Linked DNA regions of Astyanax mexicanus. The main gene of each other region encodes a partner of the protein of the gene in region 2 in a complex. Links are inferred from orthologs where the notes say so. Each region holds a gene or a part of one and is shown on either strand. Other genes may lie near its edges. The genes, in order: etfa and acadm.

Region 1 (7,328 bases), on a different chromosome or scaffold from region 2:
ACAAACCTACAGGCTTTATCAACTATGAATAACTTAGTTACAACATATGCTATAAAAGTGCTTCAGTCAGTATAAGAAAAATATTGTATGTAGTGGAGTTGCTTGAAGTGGTGGAACAGATTAGATGTATTAACATTACCGCTGCTGGTCGGCTGCACTCTCCGGCACAATTTGCAGCAAAGCGGCAAGGGAGCGGACCCGCGGCCGGTCTCGAGGACCCGCGGCCGAGCGAGCGGACCCGCGAGCGTTCCCGCGGCCGGCCTCGAGTACCCGCGGCCGGCCTCGAGGTTCCGGGGCCGACCGAATCGAGTCTACCTTAGCCTTGGATCCGCTCGTCCCGGCTCCGTTTGGCTCCAGCGCGAGACATATGTGCTGCGTAGCGAAGCGGACCCGAGCCTAGCCATTTTAACCTAGCCTTGCCTAGCCTAGCCTATTTGGCTACGTGCCTGTGTGGTTACGTCATCACGCACTGACGTAGCCCAGCTACGGGGGCTGAATGTGTTGAGCTCTGCGGCGAGATATCTGATAACTGATATCACCGTTATTGAAACATTTCTTATCGCGATAAATACCGATATCGAATTATTGTCCAGGCCTAATATGGATATTTAATTAATAGTTTACAAGCAAAGACTGGAGGCATGCAATGGTTTATTTAGTGTTGTGTTTAAACCCCGACCACTAGATAGCCGCGTTGTACTCAGTCTTTAGATGCCACTGTTATGATTACCTAAAAAGTTTTACATACTTTAAATTTAAATTAAATTGTGCAAATAAAAATTGCAGAAAATGTTCATCACCACAGAATTTAGGTACATTACCAACACCACAAATGTTTAGCTCTAATGTGTTGCTAGACTTGCACATACATGCTGACATGGCTGTTTTTGCTTGCACTGAAATAAAGCATTCACCTTGGCTTGTCACAATAACTACCAACAACTAACCAACAAGATTATTTTTACAAGCATTTTTGCTCATCTCAATTTTACCCATTATTTTTTATTCATTTATTTTTTTTTAGCAGGGAGAGACTATTAATGTGACTTAATATTTTAACATCAGACCAGCATAACACTATTGTATTAATCTTCTTTCATTAATTGTATTTTAACCTTTTTATAATTCATTTCTAATGTCTGAAAATATTATTAAATTATATATTTTTTATTGTTCATTATTGCTTATTTTTTATTAACAAAAGGTCATGTATTAGTGAAATAAGCCACAGTTGACCTGAGCACTTTTTTCACAAAAAAATTGGCTCACATAGCATTCATTCATACTAGAGACCGCAACTAGACATTTTAAAACGAATGAAAAAAACAATGGAATGAGAACTTTAACCAATACAATGCAATAAATACATCAATAAAAATGCAGCTAAACTGCCTAAGTCTTAAAGAAATACTGTAAAGCATATTTTGGTCATACAACAAAAACTGGGGTTGTTTTCAGAAATTTGATTAAAAAATTCTCATTATAAATATCATAACACCTCCATCATGATATGCACCAGATTCTTGCCAATAAACAGCTCCAATGATGGTAAACACATTTTCAGAAATAAACACAGATAACTCCAGCAGAATATTTGATTAGATAGCACATCTGTCTGCTTCTAGATCTATCAGCAGTTCAGACAGGTACAGTTCAATAGTTTGGGAATGTGCAAGCTAAACAAACAAAGAATTAGGTATGAGGGTGAGGCTGGAAAGTTGCACAACTATTACTAGCTAGCTTATCTAAAAGTTTATAATGTAATGTAATTACCATGATATTATTGGAAAGGCTGTAAACAGTGAACATTATCTGCCTCTACATGTAACTGTATATCTAGTCATGTCAATAAACACTGTATAGTAATTTCTGGCATATACTTTTACTTAATAAAAATGTAACAGAATTTAAATATGTCAGTTCACACTGCAACAAAAGCATATGGAATGGGTCAATAGAAACGCTAAAATAAAATAAAAAAACATCCAATAATTTTAACGATAACATTTTAAGAAAAAAAGCATTTTGATAGTGATAAGATAAGGAACCAAAAGTTGTGCTGACAGATCTTAAAACTGAATTTTGAGTAGCTGCACCTTAGAAGAACCCTTAACCTTTGCCCTGGTTTCACCAGTTTTGTTGAATTATCATTCACACTTTCAATTTCACAATTAATTTAGAAACCTCTCTTGCTTGTTAAAAGCAGAAGCCCTGTGTCACCAGTTCACTAAGTTACACTTAATAAAAACAGTGATTTAAATGTCCGTGATTTTTTTTTTCTTGTTGTATTGTACACGTAGTGTTTCTTTTATATTTATAATCATCTTATTTTGCTGTACTTGCTGTAACTTCAGGGAGGAGAGAATCCTAATCAATCCTCTCTATATCCTTTAAGTAAATATGCAGTGTTGACAATAAAACTACTTGCCTTGACTTGACGTTACCTCGTTTCAAAACAACAAACACAGATTTGTCCTTAGACACACGATGACAAAACGAGCTAAGAACAGTCACATATGGACAGGTAGGCCTTAATTATAATTAAAGAAACTTCAAAATACTTCTAATTATCTAACAGCGTCAGTGTGAGATTTCGTAACGTAAAATCTGTCAACTGCATAACCTTGAAACGAGGCTAACGGCTAACTCAGCTAATTTAGCCTAAAAACCAGCCAGCCTGTTAGCCAGTTAGCTAACCTAGCTAACGTAGAAGAACGAAACTAGCTAACGCTAGCTAGCTCACCTCTGCAGAGGACAGAAGTTAAAGAAACTGGTTGGTTACACTTTTACAGTTAGTAGCTAGCGGGCTAGTTAAGTTAGACAAATGCAGGTCCAGAGTAAAGGTGGGTAACCCAGGTCCAGAAAATCAAATCCATCCCAGGGTTTCTTACCAACTCTCTTGGTAACTCTCTACCAACGTTTTGATAAAGAAGCTGAGCTGCAGCAGAGCCACGCACGCAGTTGGTACAAAAGCCTGGGGTGGATTTTTACTTTTTGGACCTTGGTTACTCACCTCTAGTGAGCTAGTGAGCTACGTTAGCTTTATATTAATCTACATAATTCTTTGTATTTATGCATGTCTTCCTCCAAATTAACGCAAAGCGACTTGAGCGACCACTCTACTCTTTGTACAGAGTGTTTAATTCTTACCAGAGTCCTGAGGTTTGTCTTGTTGACAGCTTTGAGCATGATTACAGCAGCAGCAGCTCCTCCACTCTACTGCAGGACTGAACCGCAGAGCTCACAGGGCCGCGATATCGCGAGAGTTAACTCTGAGCTCCGAGACCCGGCCGCACCTCATATCCGCCGGAGAGGACCGCCCACCCGAGCTCAGTGCTGCTGCCGCCGCTGTACGAGTTCAGTGAGGATCAGCTGAAGACCGCGGAGCAGGTTTCCATCCAGCGGGGGATTTAGTTCCAGCGAATTACTGAATAACTGCAGTAAATCGATAAAGTGATCAGTTCAATGCTCTACAGAACAGTTCACCAGCTCCTTACTGCAGTCACGTTTTCTTTCATTTATACCTGCATTTAACATGAGAAGCGTTTTTAATGTATGATTTCTCCTTGATTAGACAAAGACACGTTTTCTCTTAGCTTAGGGTCTATGCCTAAACTTTCGCCTTTTTGAAATGTAGCTAACATGTTTTAATTAAGTTTCATCGAATACTTTTTTTGTGATTTTATTTAATGGTTCTGTCAAGTGTGCTTACTTAATAAATAATATTAATAGAACGGTGAATAGCTTATCTTTATTAAATAATAATGTAGTATGTAAACACTGTTACAGTATTTATAAGATTGTGACTTACCTTTCAACAGTGTGCGATATGTGAGGAAAAAAGATTTTTCTTCTTTTTTTCTTATTGTTCTTCTTGTTTCTTCTTCTTATTATTATTATTATTATTATTATTATTATTATTATTATTATTATTAATAATAATAATAAATAATGTTCAACTACCCACTTATTTTTCTCATGTAAAGTCAGTTGTGCACCTCTTTTTATATATACGTTTTTACAACAGTACCAGTTAAAGGTTTGGACACACTTCTTTTTTATGATTTTGTAAAATTTCAAGCTACACAGGAACACCATCGGAATTATTTTGTAAACAAAAAGAGTTAAATAATACAGAATATGTTTTATACTTTAGATTTTTGAGGACCGATCTGAACACTCTTGCACTGTAAAAAGTGAAGCATGGAGCTGTTCATTCAAGCTAATAAATATGATTGAACACATAGTACAATTATTGACTTTATTGTGAAACTCAACCTTTTTGAATTTTGATGTGTCAATTTTGATTCAGACTAAATTAATTACAATTCTGAAGGAAATAAACCAAATGTTTTGGTTCCACTGAAATCATACTCGAAGAAAAGAGATAAGGATGTAATATTTTTAATTTGAATCAAACATGAATTGCGCATGCGCACTGTGGAGCACGGGAGAAGTTGTAGAGAAGTGCTTCAGAGCACTGAGGGAGAGAGGGAGAAAGTGCCTGAACGCGCTCGCGAGAGAGAGAATGAGAGAGGGAGAAAGTGCCTGAACGCGCTCGCGAGAGAGAGAATGAGAGAGGGAGAAAGTGCCTGAACGCGCTCGCGAGAGAGAGAATGAGAGAGGGAGAAAGTGCCTGAACGCGCTCGCGAGATAGCAACGCATGCTTATGGTATTGTGGCGTCGGGACTGGAGGGGGGGCGGAAGGAATTATGGGAGCTCACCCTGTTGGGGGGAGTGGGTGTTTTTCTGCGTGTTTATGTTACTGTTTATCCCAGAGTTTCATGTCATGTTTTATTATCACTGTTCTAGTATTATTCATGTAGTTATCAGTTATGTGGTTGTTTTGTGTAAGTGCCTCACCCTTTGTGTGTTTTCTGTGTGTGGGAGTGGGGTTAGCTGCGTTGGAGCTGTAGTTAGTTTCACTTTCAAAAGTGGAATCCCATGTAAATCCAGCTCTTAGTGTCCTCCTCAGAGCAAAATAAAAAGAGCAAGAGAGCACTGAAACGAATCTCGCTGGTAAGCCGTCCTCTTCCACGCCACAGTAACTTCTGGAACTTCTGAATATGCTGCCATGTTTTTTTTAAAAGTTCGGATCAATTTAAATGTATTAGTTTGGTTCCGAAACTGAAATGTAAAGAATTTAACTTGGATCAAGGTGAATAATTAATATTGGGTCGAGTGAAGTAATATGGTTTATGTCAAAATAAAATAATCAGGTTGTAACAATTGACTTTATTTAGATTGAGTGAAGTCAAATAGTTTAGATGCAACAAATGGACATCAATTTTTTTAATTTGAGCAGGGCTACACTTTTTACAGTGTGGTTAATCTGTGTCTTCGTGATGTAGAGTCACCTGGAATAGTTTTCTCAGCATCTTAAAGGAATTCCTGGAGGTGCTGAACAATAGTTGCAGCATTTCCTTCACGCTGTGAAATTCCAGCTCATCACAAATCACCTCAAATCACCCATCTCAGTGGGGTTTAGGTCAGAGGATTGTGGAGGACAAACACTTTTTTGTTTTCAAAGTAATTCCATATGTGTCCCTTTATTGTTTTCAATATTTTAATAAGAATCTATAATATAGAAAATACATTGAATGAGGATGTGTACAAGTTGACTGGTACTATTTATATATTTCTTTAAATTCTAAATAAGCCTACAGCCATGAACACAGTTCTGGCTTAAGCATAACTGTTGTTTAGTAGCACAATTTAACATGTACAATAAGAAAAATAAATTGCATACATTTATTTTTCCTATGTTAAATACAAAAAATCAAAATATGTAATTTTTTCCACAAGATTGCAACTGCCTTTTACTTTTAGACCAGACTGTTTTGTTTCACTTTTTAAATATAGCAAATCAAAACAGAGCTCATAAAAAACAGTCTGTATAATTCTTAGATATAAAGAGAGATTGGGAGACTGTTTGGTAGTTGTACTCTAAATAGCTGTAGGTCTTTTAGCAAAAGGAAATAAATTCCTTTTATTTTTATATATATTTTTTTAGAAATATACCCCTTACATGACAGGGAATATCTCAGGAGTGTTTTTCTGACTCTCTACCTAAATTCCACGTTTTTTTTTTTTATTTTAATGCAAATGTTCAAAACGATTTAGTTACTTTTCTTTTTCATGGCAAGCCCATTTCCTCTGCTATTGATTTCCTCTGATTTATATTACATTACATTATATACATTCATATTAACTAATTATACACAACATCATATACTATTTCAAACGGAGAAGCGTGAAAGTGAATAATTGAAGAGCCTGATTGTAAAAGGTTGTTTTGATCTCAGGTTGTTGTGGGCTGAGCTTGTTTCGCGGTTCAGTACAGAGTCACACTATAAGCTCAGTCTTCAGAAACATTAGAGGTGAGAGTGCTGGAGATCTGAGCGGCTTTGATTGGATTTGAGAGGGCGGGGTGAGTTAGGCTTGTTTTAAAAGACATCTCTCTCCCACCCTCTGTTCCTCCCTCTCTCACTCACTCACTCATGCTCACACCCATACGCGGCAGTGGTCTTGTCCTCCACTTTCAGAAGAGATTTGTTAAGAGTAACATTCCGTTTTCGTTCCCTCGCTGGTTTGCCTCTTTTTTATCATTTGTAAAGGAGTAGTTTCAATTTTTTTAATATTTTGTATTTTTGGGTCTTTTCTCTTCTGATTGTTGACGAAAAAATAAAATAAAAGATCTGTACGTTTTTAGTTCAACATTTAAAGTTTTTGTCTTTTAAGCTTAGTGTTTTGCAGCGTCTCTAAATATTATTGACTATAGAACATACAAGATAGATAGATAGATAGATAGATAGATAGATAGATAGATAGATAGATAGATAGATAGATAGATAGATAGATAGATAGACAGACAGATAGATCATCTTAAAAAATACATATTTCAAAAAAAAATATGGCTCGTAATGGTTCTTTACGATTTAAAAGCTTTTTTAAACTTAACTTTTACAAGCATGGTTCATTATTGAGCCAAAAGTGATTATTCTATAGCATGTATCAAATCAAACCATTTGCAGCACATTTGCTTTGTTAGAAGACTTTTTATTTTATTGTAAGAATGCATAAAATCATTTTTTAGGCGACAAAATTTTATTTTATTTTTTGTATGTATCTTTTTTGTTTGTGTGTAAAAAAAAAAAGAAAGAAGATATTCTCTAATGTAATGAGACACGCTGTGGTGGAGATTATAGATGGGATTGATCTGAGTTAGGGTCGGTGTTAAAGGTCAGGTTGAAGAGCACGCTAAAGGAAGAGCGACCCTCTGCCCGTTCTGGAAACATCTTGAAAAAATAATCCGTACAAATAAATCA
Region 2 (8,041 bases):
CTGAGCATCATTACCCGCAATAATGACTGGCATTTGCTGTAACAGAAGAGCACACAAGGTGAGCTTCAGTACAGGATTAATAACAGCTTAAAATAACAGTTTAATTAAGGAGACGTTCATTAAAAAATAATGAATTACTGTAATTATTAGATTTCTATATTTACAACCACTAAAACAGATAGAATAGTTAATGCTGCAGATGCTCTTTACAGCTAAATAATATTCTGGAGAATAACAGAGCAGCTCGGATCAGATAAACACTCAACACTTACTCCCAGAGAGTTGGCCTCAATAGCCGTCTGGACTCCTGTGCAGCCGTAGGCCAGCTCCTCTGTGATCAGGCAAGCATCGAAACTGGACAGACCCAGTCCCCCTGAAACAGAGACCATATGACCAGTTACCAACCAGAACTGATCTGGAGCTCTATTAGATTCTGTGTTCCAGCGGGTATATCTGTGCAGTGTGAAGCTGCTTTAATACAGAACCCTGAAAATTTGCCTCTGCACTTAGTAGTGAATGCAGCACAGACTGCGAGTGTAAACAGCATGGAGCAGCAAAGACAGTCCTTATTCATAGCTGTGGTAATTAACATTATCTGGCTAATATATCAGATTAAACTGCACCTTATCAGCAGTTTAGCTCAAATAAAAGGAGTATATTTGATAGCTGCGTCGGATCAAGACCGGATTCTGTTCTCACCACAAGCGAACCTCTCCAGAGTTCGTTTGGGATCAGACCAAGACCTCCTCCTCTGGCAGTTTTGCTGTGGTTTTGTTCCACACCAGAGTACTATTACTGTTTTTACACCTGCTTAATCTGCTTAAAAGGGTTTTATAGGATCTACACCTGTAGTCTGTATACAGGCAAAGGCCTGTTAAAAAGGGTGTCGCCTGATAAAGTGGACAGAAACCATATTTACAATATACACAGACGTACCGCAGTCCTCAGGAATGTGACTGTTGATCAGACCGAGCTCCCACGCCCTCCTGATTAGCGGAACCGGATACTGCAGCAGAGGAGACGAGAGGATTAACACAGAATTATTTACTACTTGAATATTAATAAAAGCTAAACAGCTTAAAAAAATAGTGAAAATCATTTAGTATTCAGGTTTTGGCCATTTTTTTTTTTCATTTTGTCTGGTTTCGGCCAAAACGTTTCATTTCATTACATCTCCCATTTAATGGAACTAAACAAAATCAAAGATCATATTTCACAAACTCACTTCACCACTTTTGTCGTACTCCCCAGCGACCGGCAGGATCTCCTCTCGTGCAAACTTCCTGGCTGTTTCCTGGAATTCCTTCTGCTGGTCAGTTAATTCTGTTGATGATCACAGAAAATAGAATTAATTCTACTGTATTTACCAAACACAGACACTCACAGGGGTCGACCAGTCGTGCTGTGCAGTCCGTCCACGTACCGAAGGAGATTCCTCCATGTGACGTTTTCGCTGCACTGGCCGCTCGAGCTGCAGCTCCACTGCTCTGAAACCGCAGACCCGTCTGAACCCCTGTCTGCAGAACCTGCGCACACACAGAACATACAACAAAATTCAATATTAATCACTCTATAGTTTTATTCCAGATCACGTTTGCAAAAAACTCAGACATTGAGTCACTCCTCTCACAGAGTTCGCCAGAAAACATATTTTAGTTCAACATAGGTCTGCAAATAATCATTTTGGTATCTGACTAATCTGAAGGTTATTTCTGCAATCAATTAACTAATTAACGATTATTATTTACCTAAACAAATCATCAATGTGTTTCTGTCCACAGCAATTTGTGTGGTAGACACTGAAATTCAAACAAAATCCTATTTTCTTTCAATTAACATTTTCAATTAGTCCAACTCATCATCACTGCAGCCCTAGTTCAATGACTGTATTATTACAACACTAATCCTGCAATTCTGTTACAGCCTAATAAAGAACCCAGTCCCTCACATGCAGCTCTGTGAAGAAAAACACAGCCAAAGAAGCACATACAGCTCACTAGCTAATGCTAGCCAGTTAGCATAACAAGCTAACACACTGGAGTGACCATAGCTTAGCTCAGCTCTTGATTCAAAAGCTCATCTAGTGATGTCCTGCCTGAAGAAAAATGAGAACAGCACTTTATCTGAGGAGCTCCTGCTGCTGCTCCTCACTGTATTATCAGTAGCCTCCTTTTAAATGCCAGAGCTCTAACAAAGAGGTGTGGAGCGGTGTAGTGGAGAACGGAGGTGTGCAAGTCATCAAATGTAAATAATTTATCATGTTTTTCTACACAAAAATTCTTACTGTGACAGGTCTAACCCTGTCCTTCACTTTGAGTCATTAAGTTCCTAAGCGACATATGGCTACTAAACATCCTGAGAGCATCACAGCACAGTGTGTGGGTGTGTATTTGTTTATCTGACCTTATTTCCAGAATGTAGATGTGTTGGGATAGTGCTGTAGGATATAACTAAGCTCTCCTTTAAAAAGTATATTTTTGATTCTACAGTTGTGTTTCAAACATTTTAACATGTAACCAGTTCTGATCTGATTTGAAGAACAGAATGTTGAAAAATATATATATTTGAAATTGTTGTTAAGGACTTTAACTTAATACATACCGTCATGTGCCCACATTAATTAAAAAACGTGCATGAGCAGCTCAATGATTTTATCTGATTTCATTTAGAATTTTGCATCCATATTCAGAAATATTTATGTTTTTTTCATGGGTTAATAACAACAATAACTCACAGATAATAAATAACTGTGCATCAATTTAAACAAAACACCGAGCATTATTACTCTCATTCTCCCGTCCACCTTAAATAGAGTGCTCACATTGTGGCGTATGTTGCTTTACAGTGTAATATGACTACCTATGTGTTTATTCATCGTTGTGAGCCATTTTTAAAGACAATAACGAAATACAAACCAGACGTAAATCTGCAATAATTCGAATTAAACACAAAAACACCTTAATATAAACCCCAAACTCGACCAGAACAGCTGCACTATTTAAGGTGGAACGGACTCTTGCAAAAACAAGGCGGTAGAAACGAAACTATACTAAGCTTAACCACAAAGCAAAGGCTGCAGAATCTGTTTAAAAGCAATGAAATAAATATATAAAACTCTACCTTTCTGAAAATCAGCATTTTTTTGTGTATTTGTTTATATTGTAATAAGAAATCCGGATCCTTGGGAGTCGCGTCCTGTGCTCTTCGCCCTACAAAAAGACTCTCCAGGCAGACAGCCAATCACAGCCAAGGATGTTTGTCACGTGATCATGTGCCGGGACGTCGGCTCTCTTCGACTACTTTACTTCCAGCCAATCAAATACGGGGCTTTGATCACGTGCTCTGATCCGGCTCCGCCCCCTGTGACCTTAGCCCCAGTTTTATTCTGGCCTACATTGATAGTTGTGTAATTCAGAGGTTATTTAAATTAAAACATTAAACATAATTTATATAGTGCTGAAATTTTACATGTGTTAACATGGACAAATCTGCAGGACTATTATATCTGCGCTTGAGGGTGAGGCTCATTATTGAGTATTTACGAGTAAACCTTTAGAATATAAGAAAATATTTTTTACTTTTTACCTTTTACTTTTTTAATAATAATAATACTGGGTCATTTTTGATTGGAAGGCCATAGACAACAAACAATAGCTTGTGTATTTTAGGACAATACCAAAAATGCAGTTAGGCAAGTTTTATAACAACTGACACATGCAGGTAACCATGAAACTATTCATAAATAGACAAATGAGGAAATACCAGTTCATCAATTCATAATCATAAAATTTCATTAAATTTATATGAATAAAATTAATTGTTTTCAAAATTATGAATATTCATGGGTACACATGGATATTTTGAAACAGATTCTTCATTAGTTCTCTCCAAAATTGAATAAAGGTTCTTCTCCCATGTAAAAAGGAAAGCGATAGCTTTATATCACACTTCATCTTCTCATCTATCTTAGAAAATATGACAAAAATGCAACAAATGTTTGTAACCATTGGTGATTCACATTAGTAAAAAAGGTAAAGCAGCATTTTATACATGTATAAAGATTCAAGATTCACAGCTCCAAATCCATAATTGTGGAATCATATGGAAAAAGCAAATAATAAAAAAGGCAGTGTTTCTTACATATTCTTTACTGAGTTACTATATTCACTAAGGATAGCAAGGGATGAAGTGTTTCAGGAGGTATCCCCCATAGATCACTGTGACATACCACACAGTTCAAATAAGAAAATACTGTGTGAAGCTCTGCTGACAAAAGCTGCAAGTGCATTAACTCATATTATAATAATAATGGACCTTTAATGTTGCATCACAGAAGTGTACTGATACGCCCTCATGCAATAACAGACCCTGACGTTTGGACTTGTTGCTGAGAACAGTCTGGAAGCTCCTTTTAAACTCCAATTCTGACTCATTTGAGCACAATACACTTTCCACTGTGGTATTAGTGAATATAGTAACTCTGTATTGTAGAGCTTGTTGTTGGTGATAAAGGTCATGGTGAACATAATAAGGCTTGTGTTGTGTACAGTAAAGTTTTAAGTGTTATTAGTGCCAAAACATCATATAATTGTTGTGAGAAGAAATGGCAACATTTCAAGGTAAAGTAAAGTAAATGCTTTAGTGTCCCAACTGTTTTTGGTTAAAATAAAAGTCAAAGTAAAGTAAGAAATACTTCACTTTAATTTTATGAGACTTTTCATCCTGTCCATCAGTTGCTGTCCATGTAGGTTTGGGGGGTCCCACTGTTTTTCATGTAGGGGTCTTAGGCTGCGTTCACATTACAAGCCACATTGCTCAAATCCGATTTCTTTTGCTCAGATCGGATTTGGCTATTCTGACGGTTCACATTCACAAATGTAAGTGATCAGTATCTGTGTGTAATGGGAACAAGCTGTCCCTGAAACGGCTTACATTCACAAATTGATACCTGTTTAAACGTCGCCTTCTTCACCACCAACAAAAAAAAAAATCATATTTGAGAGAGCTTCCTAGCTTTATAAAGGGAAATGGATGAGTCAGCAGCTCATATGTGAAACATCTTTTGCTGGAGTGGAGAGTAAACAGCTGATCTGATGTCGAGGAGGTAAAAAGAGATCAGGTGGTTTGCTTTTGCTGTTTTTGCAGCTATAGCTGCACAGCTGCTCAAGAGATGTGTGGGTACGAGAGAGAGGCACGTAGAGCTAATGCTAATGCATAAAGCAAAAAGATGCATGAATTCCGAATTGACAGTTCACATTCATGTCGCATGTCCATGGATCCGATACGTATCCGGTTTAGGACCACATATGAAAGTGACTCAAATCTGATTAAAAAAACAAATCTGATTTGGCACGTTCACACAGCCATTAAAAAATCATATCTGAGCCACACTGAGCAAAAAAATCAGATTCGAGTCACTTCAGCCTGATAATGTAAACATAGCCTTAGGTACAGTACGAGTGTGTATATGCTGTGTAAGGTTGGGGTGTAGCTGCAGTAACAGACATGACCAGCAGAGGTCAGCACACACTCACTCCAGCGCCTACAGCGCCCCCTGCCGGCCGAAATGGTTTGTAGCAGGCTCCTCCTACAGGTTCACTTCAGTGAATGAAGAAGAGTTGGGTTCAGTTAAACGAACCGATTCTTTACCAACTATCCATTCAATGAAACTTTTTTTAATATAGAGCTCTTGTACTTTCACTCAAGTCTAGCTCTATAGTACTTTATACATTCCAATAATGATATTTTGTTTTTTTTATATTAAATAAAATAACTTGACTAATTACAAATCAATTTCATTCATTTACTTTAATTAACTATAATTTAAAAAGAAATGTACTAACAAATTGTTCATAATAAGTTTATAATTAAGTACTAATTATAATTTACATTGCTTTAAATATGTATTAACTTACAATTTGTTTACAGGTTTATAAAATAGTTTTTAAAGTTTATAATATAGTTTAAATTGTAAATAACATTACTTTAAAAAAAATGAAGGCAACAGATTTCCTCAGATTATTTAATTACATTGATTTTACAAATGACCTGAATCGCTCCGATTCACTCACTGATTCTGTTCTAAGGACTCGGTCTAGATAAGCCGATTCGCGGGTGACTCTGAGTCGGATCGGGATTCGTTAGCCGGTGTGACAGATGCTAGCTGTGGGGCTAACGCTTAGTAACTGCTACCTGGAATGTTCCGCGGTTCCGGGGGAGAATAAGCGCTGATTTCCGCGGTTCCGCTGATCCTCTGTTCGGTAGAAGTTTCTGGAATTCCCGCTGAAGAGCGGGGGAGAGAAAGGGGGAGGAAAAGAGGAGAAAGGAGGGATAAATAGCGCTTTTCTGACTGATCTCTAACTCCGTGTTGACATTACCAGACTCGGGCTGGCGGAGCGAAAGCGAAGCGCAGCAGCAGCGGAGAGAGAGCCATGTCTCCCGGGCAGAACCCGCACACTCTGCTGGGGCGGATCCGCTTCCTGAACCGCTGCACCGAGTGCTTCAGGACCGGAGAGCCGCTCCCGGAGAGCCTGTGCTTCGTGCCGCGGGAGGTGTGCTATAAGATCTGTAAGGACTCGTCCAGCAACTCCGGGTCCTCGTCTGCCTCCTCTTCAGCTGGAAACTCTGGAGGAAAGACCCTGGTTCCGGTCTGGGACCACCCGAACCAGCCGCCCACCAGGAAGACCGCCCGGTGCACCATCGAGCCCAAGAAGGGGACCTGCATCCGAACCTCCGGGGAGGAGTACTACAACAGCCACGGCCTGTGGGTCAAAATCAGCAAGGTAAACCTCCACCAGAACCAGCAGCTGAACCCACTCAGTTACCCATTTACTCAATCCTTAATCAACCCTTATTTACTCACCACTTACTTCAATAAAATCTACTCAAAACTCTTATTTACTCCACTTTCATTTTCTCAACTCTTATTTACTCAGTCCTTATTTACTCACCATTCAATTACTCAATTCTAATTTACTTAACCCTTAAAATCTACTTAAAACTCTTACTTACTCGACTCTCGTTTACTCAATTCTCAAAATAAACTCCAAACTCTTATTTCCTCAACTTTTATTTACTCACCCCTCATTTACTTAATTAATAAAATCTACTCAAAACTCTTATTTACTCCACTTTCATTTTCTTAACTCTTATTTACTCAGTCCTTATTTACTCACCACTCATTTACTCCCTCCTTAATCAACCCTTATTTGCTCGACTTTTATTTACTCACCATTCATTTACTCAGTGCTTATTTACTCACCACTCATTTACTCCCTCCTTAATCAACCCTTATTTGCTCGACTTTATTTACTCACCACTCATTTACTCCCTCCTTAATCAACCCTTATTTGCTCGACTTTTATTTACTCACCATTCATTTACTCAGTGCTTATTTACTCACCACTCATTTACTCCCTCCTTAATCAACCCTTATTTGCTCGACTTTATTTACTCACCACTCATTTACTCCCTCCTTAATCAACCCTTATTTGCTCGACTTTTATTTACTCACCATTCATTTACTCAGTGCTTATTTACTCACCACTTATTTACTCAACTCGTATTTACTCAGTCCTTATTTACTCACCATTCATTTACTCAATTCTTATGTACTCAAGCCTTAAAATCTACTCAAAACTCTTACTTACTCAACTCTCATTTACTCAACTCTCATTTACTCAATTCTCAAAATAAACTCAAAACTCTTATTTATTCAACCTTCCTTTACTTATCATTCATTAACTCACCCTGTCATTTTTTCAATCCTCAAAATCTACTCAGTACTCTTATTTAGTCAACTCCTATTAACTCATCTCTTATTTACTCACAACTAATTTACTCAACTTCTCATTTACTCAAACCTCAAAATCTATTCAAAACTCCTAATTACTCAACTCTTATTTACTCACCACTAATTTACTTAACTTTTTATTTACTCAAACCTCAAAATCTAATAAAACTTCTATTTACTCCACTTTTATTTACTCAACTCTTATTTACTCAACTTTCATTTACCCAATATTCAAATGTACTCAAAACC

What was found.
Region 1: the proteins of acadm (region 2) and etfa are in contact, whole or in part, in a crystal structure (PDB 2A1T), measured with the Homo sapiens proteins. The link is inferred for Astyanax mexicanus from reciprocal best matches to the Homo sapiens genes ACADM and ETFA. Residues at the interface, in NP_000007.1 of Homo sapiens: Pro163, Lys173, Pro211, Gln232, Arg235, Glu237, Val251, Glu253; in NP_000117.1 of Homo sapiens: Arg223, Lys226, Arg249, Asp253, Ala283, Ile284, Gln285, Glu304.

The regions. Positions count from the first base shown.
Region 1 is NC_064409.1:55,938,785-55,946,112, reverse strand, and holds the start of etfa (electron transfer flavoprotein subunit alpha, mitochondrial), read right to left. Parts: upstream 3,276-7,328; 5' UTR 3,190-3,275; coding exon 3,151-3,189; intron 1-3,150. UniProt on the Homo sapiens protein: Heterodimeric electron transfer flavoprotein that accepts electrons from several mitochondrial dehydrogenases, including acyl-CoA dehydrogenases, glutaryl-CoA and sarcosine dehydrogenase.
Region 2 is NC_064425.1:41,681,914-41,689,954, reverse strand, and holds the start of acadm (medium-chain specific acyl-CoA dehydrogenase, mitochondrial), read right to left. Parts: upstream 3,250-8,041; 5' UTR 3,139-3,249; coding exon 3,121-3,138; intron 1,527-3,120; coding exon 1,424-1,526; intron 1,324-1,423; coding exon 1,226-1,323; intron 1,007-1,225; coding exon 937-1,006; intron 374-936; coding exon 273-373; intron 37-272; coding exon 1-36. Other genes in the region: E3 ubiquitin-protein ligase HECTD3, read left to right, coding at 6,432-6,782. UniProt on the Homo sapiens protein: Medium-chain specific acyl-CoA dehydrogenase is one of the acyl-CoA dehydrogenases that catalyze the first step of mitochondrial fatty acid beta-oxidation, an aerobic process breaking down fatty acids into acetyl-CoA and allowing the production of energy from fats.